Drosophila melanogaster: one gene and its partner. The protein of the gene in region 2 interacts with the protein of the main gene of each other region in a pairwise test. Each region holds a gene or a part of one and is shown on either strand. Other genes may lie near its edges.

The links.
Region 1: the proteins of CG14488 (region 2) and stck interact in a two-hybrid assay, tested with the Drosophila melanogaster proteins (2 studies listed by BioGRID).

The regions. Positions count from the first base shown.
Region 1 is NT_033777.3:8,356,755-8,360,734, reverse strand, and holds stck (steamer duck), read right to left. Parts: upstream 2,408-3,980; 5' UTR 2,354-2,407; coding exon 2,331-2,353; intron 2,265-2,330; coding exon 2,145-2,264; intron 2,087-2,144; coding exon 1,781-2,086; intron 1,727-1,780; coding exon 1,585-1,726; intron 1,529-1,584; coding exon 1,270-1,528; intron 1,206-1,269; coding exon 1,009-1,205; 3' UTR 775-1,008; downstream 1-774. Other genes in the region: veneno, read left to right, coding at 1-171, 229-434, 489-640.
Region 2 is NT_033778.4:17,766,665-17,770,009, reverse strand, and holds CG14488 (uncharacterized protein), read left to right. Parts: upstream 1-2,223; 5' UTR 2,224-2,285; coding exon 2,286-2,391; intron 2,392-2,444; coding exon 2,445-2,743; 3' UTR 2,744-2,845; downstream 2,846-3,345. Other genes in the region: CG18635 (uncharacterized protein), read left to right, coding at 104-459, 519-724, 775-2,162; OstDelta (oligosaccharide transferase delta subunit), read left to right, coding at 3,129-3,141, 3,311-3,345.

The DNA of each region.
Region 1 (3,980 bases), on a different chromosome or scaffold from region 2:
GATGCGTAGATTTTCAATCGAATCTAAGGAAGGCATTGATCTCATCGTTGTGGATAGTACAAAAAAAAATCGAGGTATTTTTGGGGCCTTTGACAGCACCTACGCCTCCGAATTTTCCGCCTTGCACTCTCGTTTATCAGAAATTACAGACTGCGAGCCTTATAAGCCAGTGTAACTATACTATAACCATACCAATGTAAGTTTATATTTAATTAACATTTTTGACAGTGTCAGGGAATATGTGCTTGCCAGATTTGAGGGTTCCTGGTATCGTGGCAAAGTGGAACAGATTATAGTTGTTCCACGGCAGCAGACAAAGTACCGGGTAATGTACCTCGATTACACGAATGTAGAGGACATAACCGAAATGGATATCCGTCGCTATCCATTAGACTTCACCGCTCCCTGTGCCACAAACCTTTGCGTGATTGACGGTATGGATATTAAACATTTGTCTTGAGCATAACATTTGAACAAACACTTTATAGAATTCCCGCACAACCCGAATGCAGCACAGGTTTCCTATCTGGCTGAGGTTTTGAAGGTCCATCAGTCAGTTCATATTGATAGTATCAAATATATCAACCATATAGCCGTAATTAAATCGGGAAGTCTTATTCAGAAGCTGTTGAGCTTGTAAATTTTAAGTGCATCAAATGCCATTTACTTGACACCACAACTAAATCGGGTCAAACACATTACGAAGTTATTGCGAATAAGCATTACGTTTTATAATTTTAAAAACATTTATATATAAATAAAATTCCATTAAATAACAACGTTAAAGGCTTTTAATACACAATGTTATGTTCCCTAGCTATTGATGCCGTTGATTCTCGATTTAAAATTTAAGTTACACACAACCGGATTACAACAGACGGAAAGGACATGCACAAGAGGTTTTAGTTTGTTTGGTTTTAGTTTCTCAAATGTTAAAAATGGTAGTGAAAGCGGGTCTACAACGACAAAGGCACTGTTTGGTGTGGATCTGAGACTCGCTCCAAGGCATTAGGTGTTCTTTTTCATTGTCATCTCGTGGGCGGTGCGCAGACGTCGTCTGAGTTCGTTTGGAAATCGGTCATAGCACTTTTTGCACACCGGCTTCTCGTCGTACTCGTAGAATTTCGATTTTTGTGTCATCTTCGTGTCGCACACGGAGCACGCAAAGTGGTGCACACACCAGGCCTTGTTCAAGGCAGTGAAAACTGTTGGCATTATGGAATGAGCGCATTAAATAAACCCAGAATATAGTTCAATTAAGTTACTCACCATCGCCTCCAATAACCTGGTTGCAGACGAAGCACAGGTTGCCAAAGAGCTGATGATAGTGCGTCTCGCAGTAGGCCAATCCCCGCTTCTCGTAGTGTCGGTGACCCAAGAAGGGTTTCTCGCACTTGGCGCACACGAAATGTTCCACATGCCAGTGCTTTCCGAGCGCCGTTACCACCCTCTCCTCAATCGGACGACGACAGGCACCACATATGGGAATGCCCATTTTATCGTGACAACGCAGACAATACAGTTCGTTCTATAATGGAATAATAATTCAGTTGCTTCTTATTTGCTAAAGAAAAAAAAACCCACCATATCGTTAGCAGCCAATCCTGGCCGGCTCTTGACCTCCCGAGCAGTGGAATCCAACTCTGTGCCGCAGGCCGTGCAACTGAAGTGATAGCCGTGGTACACTTCGCCCCGGAATCGCAAAGGCTCCTCGTCGATGAGGCCGCTGAAAAGCAGAGTAATTAGCAACATGTTTTCACCTAAAGCCTTTGAAACCTACTGGCATTTTTGGCATACATAGCGGCCGGTAATCTCCGCCTTCACCTTGGCATTGCACTCGTGACACAAGGCGCGGTTCTGGTTCTTGATGAATCCGCAATCAGCCAGCTCCTTGGCGCACAATTGGCAGCGGAAGCACTGTGGATGCCAGCTAGCTGACATGGCCTTGATGACCCGTCCGATGACGAACTCGCCGCACTTGTTGCAGCAGGGAGCGAAGAGCACGTGAAAGTCGCGTTCACAGTACTTACGGCCCTCGAACTCGTAGAATATCCCATCCTGGAAGGGTCGGAAGCACTGGGCACATCTAGAAAATGTTTATTAGTGAGGGTATTAGTGAAACAACTACATTGAGGTTTACTTACACGAAGCACTGGGTGTGCCAGAGTTCTCCATTGGAGTTAACAATCTTCTCAGTCGGCTCGAAGCCGTCGGCACATCGCGTACAATGCATGGCACCCAGCGACATGTTCGCTGCCTGGACTCTGTGAATTAAGAAGAAGATCAGGATCAGTTGTTGGTAAGTAACTAACCAATTCAGAGGCCATTACACTTCAGCCTTAGAGTACATCATGGTTATAGCTTGAGCGCAAAGAAAAACGACTTTAGGGCAGGGCGTGAAATGAGAAACTGGACAAAACAATGAGACTTATCGCTTGCCGGCTCTGTTGACGATGTCTGAATCATATTTCCTTCGAATGCACAGCCAAAAAGCTTTCTGGCATTCCGTGGAAGTTTAGCTTTCATTACAGAGAGTGTCGCATGGCAGTTGGATATCAAGCGTGATACGCTGCAGATGTGATGGCTTGGTGATATATCGTTTCGGAACAGGTTATATATACATATATAAAATATATACGAAGAACTATCATATTCGCTTTAAGCTGGATAACAATGAATGGCTATAATGAGTAATTGAAGTAATTATTACAAGCAGGAGCGCCATTTGAAAAGTTTGTATATAAACAATATATATAATAAGATGTAACTATCAACTCCCCATTACTGGTTGAGTCATTGAACATTCCTTGGCCTCCAAAAGGGGTTACAAATTCAAGCATCCAATTGGAATTGGGTTTGCCGCCAACACAACAGCGGCCCACTCATCATAATCAAATCCGACGAATACACACAAAAATACGAAGAGTAAACAATACACAGACACGCACTCTCGCACAAACACACACACACACTCGAGTGGCGGCGTTTAAAAATAAATTTGAATATGACCATGACGTCATCGATGGAGTAAACATCTGGCAGGAAAATTGCATTGAATGGGGGTCCAAAGCACCACCATCACTGGCAGAGGGTTAACGCTGGATTAGGGCATGAATGATAGGCACTGCTAGCCTGAATTAGTTATATTTTTTTATTAATTAGCGAAATGCTTATTTGTGCGAATGGATAACGATGATTATTATGCTGCCAAATGATGCAATATGTGGGCGTTTTGAAGACAAGGACGTTAAGAAAGTGGGGCGGAACATTCTGCTTACTGCACGGGCGGCATTCTGTGGGCTTTTCTTTTTTAGTTGCTTTCAACTGGTTTTCACTTGCGAACAACGGCACCTGTTGCACCTGGTGTACAACGTTTTCTGATCACGGCGAGTGAAACACTGCAAAAACATATAGAAATGATCAATCTGTGTCTTTTGGCTTTAAGCTCTGCTCGCTTGGCGGCCTTCTAGCCAGATCCGGTTGATTTTCAGCCAAGAAGACGATCTGCGCAGCGCTATCGCAGCACAAAAACAACAACACCTATATTGCCAAAATGGGCAAATCTCTGGAATTTCACGCGTTTCACTTAAGCATGTTCACATTTGAAGAATTGCATTCAACGGAAAAAGTACTTTTTACCTTCAGAGAAACCTTTTTAATTAAAGCCACAGTTTGCTGCAATTAAATTACTTTTCATTTAACTAACAGCTTCCGTGGAAAAAGACGCAGAAAAAACCACTCTACTTTATCACTAAAAAATCCCTGTACAACCTGCCTATCGATAGCTCTTCTGTTCTCGAGGCAGGTAGCCCTGAATGTCAATCGATAAACACCCAATACTACTGGGCGCCAATTTAAATTCGCTATTAGCCTATGTTACCGAAATACATCAGTTAAAAGAACTTTACGATTTAAGGCGCCACGCTTATCGCAGCGTGGCATTTTTGCTTCTTTGTCTCACCTTCTTATCAGCTGCTGGC
Region 2 (3,345 bases):
GCGGTTACTCATAGTTGTTCAGTATCACCGTGGATTTCGCAAGCTGCAGATGTGAGCAACGCAATTACAATACCAGATTCAAAGGGGAACTCCCATCGGAATCATGACAGACACGGTGGTCCATGCGGCCACTCCTCCGCCTCACATACTTGGTTACACCGTTCGTAGCCGCACGCGCATCTGGGTTTCCTACATAGTGCCCACCTGTCTTGGACTGTTGGTGTACATCGTTCAAACAGCCTCGGATTTGGCCCTGAGCTACCAGCACTTCAGGCAAAAGGAGCCGACACTGGGAGCTGGCACCCTGGTCCTGGTTATCCTACCCCCCGTGATCACTTTCATCCTGGTCGCGGCTTCAAAGGAACAAAGGGAATGCGCCTGCTCGGAACGTAATAAATGCGTCGCCCTTGGCATTGGACTGCTCAAGCTGTTCCTGTTCCCCTTCTTTGTGATCTTCAGGTGAGTCAATGGATTGCCATGTGGGTCACTGCCATATTTATTAACTTTCAAACGATGAGGTTCTGTACGCGCTTGTTTTGGGCCATCGAGGGACTCTTTCACGACGACGACGATGTGGAGCGCATGAAATGCTTGGCCAAGGCCACGCAAACCTCCAACATCGAGTTGTTACTTTTTGTTCAGGCCTATGCCCAGGCAGCTCCACAAATCATTCTCCAGCTGTATCACATGCTCGTCCAGGATATGTTCCGCAATTACGAGACCTGTAAGATATATCCTCATGGCATTAGCAATGTATTAACTTCTTGCTTTTAGCTGCTGTTCAATCCTTATCGCTGGTATTCTCAGCCATTGATCTGGCTGCCATAACCACCAGTTATCATAGGATCGAAAGCCAGCGGCGGGTGGGTCGCCATTATCCTTGGGCCACTCCGCAACAGGTGGACAGCCATCGATGTCAGCTGGAGCAGAATGAACGCCTATGCTGTGAGGCTGAGCGGAAAAAGCGCGAGTCCGAGCGCACCATCACCAGTTTCCCGGAATCCGACAAGATAATGGAGAACTTTCGAGCCCGCAAGTCATTGCCGAACTCAGGTGAGGCCACCCATGAGCTGCATATTCAGGGAGAAGATGAGGTGGACAACGATGCACTGGAGCAAGTGGAAACGCGAGCATTACTGCATTCCGGGCCGATAGATAATGCTACCGATGAGGAGAAGATACAGGGAACAAGGCCCAGGCTGAAAGTGCGATACGAGGACTTGGGGGACTTGGACACCATCGAGGTGTTGGACAGCATACCCGAGACGCCAGCTCCTCCACCGCCGCCAAAAACGGCGCCACCAGAATTGCCCGTTCTGAAGCCAACCGAGGAGGATCCTCCAACGCCCGACTTGCGACGAACCTTGTCCGACAATGAGCATCGAAAGAGCCGTCGGGTCACACGACCTCTGTCCCAGCTGGAAACCTTTAAGGATATGCTGCTGGTTAATGCCCAGCTGTACATCAAAGAGAATGTCCCACATCCGCCCAAGCTTCTCATTGGCAGGCTCAAGGACGAGGATCCCGAGGAGCACACTGTTCTGATTCCCCAATCACCCAAACCATCACCTCTAACGCCCAAGGATGTGGTGGACTTTTATTTCCCGCGACCCACGAAAATAGTGAATGGTATCCAACAGGATGATTTCGCTGGCAGGACGGTGTCCTTCTTCGGATGGATTGCCTTCATCACCATGAGAATGCTTTCGTTGTCCACTTTCTGTGTCTTCTATCCGAAGGCATTCTTTATCCTGGTGGGCGTACACTATGCGCTGATGCTGGGTTGCCTGGCATTGGAAACCCGTTGTCGTGGTAGTTGGAGTCGCAGCCTGTTCCTCCTTCTTCTTGCCTACATCTATATATTTGTGTTAATGGAATTCCGCGTGTCCTTCAAGAACATTCGATTGTGGTATGGTGGATACCTGGTGCTCACGCTCGTCGAGAACATTACCATATCGTCCATTTGGTATGCAAACGAGGAGTTTGAGTCCTGGTGGTTCGGTTTCATCTGGGAGTGGATCGTTTACAGTGGAATACTATTTCTGGCTACTTTAATCGTTTACTACTGTATACTCCGACCCAAGGAAGTATCCCTCATCGTGGAGGACGATTTCCCGCAAGGGGATCAACAGGAAAGTCCTGAGGACCAGGCCGTTGCCTAGCAGTTTCCGGCTAGTTTGTTATATCGAAGTAGGTAGAGTGTAAGCCGTCAGTCTGTCACTGGCAAACGAATAAATTATTTACCTTAGTATTAGATCGAAAAAATATATAAATTTTGTTCTGCAATGGTTGATCGTGGAAATAATTTGGTACTCCCAGTGGGCCCATGTTCAACGGAACTAACGGAATCTCAAGCGAGTTTTGCTCCACCCAAAATTAAGAAAGTGCTCCGTAAGTTAAGACTGCAGTATTCTAGAACTTTTCTAATCCGAATGGTCATGCAGCCACTAGAGCAAATCGCATGGAACAGTTTCTATGGCAGGAACTCTTTGCCGAATACAACCGACAGGCCTCCGCCCAAGTGGATTTGGGTGAGGATCGCACGGAGTACTACGACCAGTTCTGCAAGGATGTGCCACCGAAAAACGAAGAGACCGAGGAAGTTCTGGTCAACAAGTATCCACTTTACTGCACTACTGCCGTAACAGTATGGAATCACGAGGGAGATTTCACCAAGACTTTCAAAAGAAAATATTCTATTACCAGACCTATAGATCTGTGTCCTGATAAGTTTGCACTTTAGATGTGGAAATTGTATGAGAGTAGTGCCCACAGAATATTATTTAATTTTGATCTTTCATTGTAAATGTTACATAAAAATTAAACTTGCAGTTTGAGAAATTCTATGCAATTAGTTTAAATTAACATTTTATTTAAATTCAATCTAAACGTAATGTTTTATAACGGTTGAGTTTACAGTAGAGCATGCATACGGTCACTCTTGCAGCGGGCATCGATGGTTCTTCGTTTACGCATCGATGTTTGTTGATCCAGAAACATATCGATAGTTGTCTCGGCCGCTGACGTGTATAAAATATCGAGGGACAGGCGGTGATTTTTGAGCGATTTAATTTTATTTTCCTATAGAATATAAGCGGCGTGTGAAAGCGCAACCACAATATAGGAAAATGTTAAAGCTAGGTGCGTAGCCTGCTCGGTGTTTGAGCCGGAGAACTTTAATTTGACGCTAAATTCAGTGGAAACGCCGGCTGCAAAGTCGTAGCTCTCGTGCTGTCTCTCTCTGATTTTCGTGGTTAAGCGATTGCCGGCGACTTGGAACCTAATGGTTTTTTTTTTTATTCAACGCCAGGTCTGGTCATCTTCTGCGTGTTGGTCGCTAGTGGG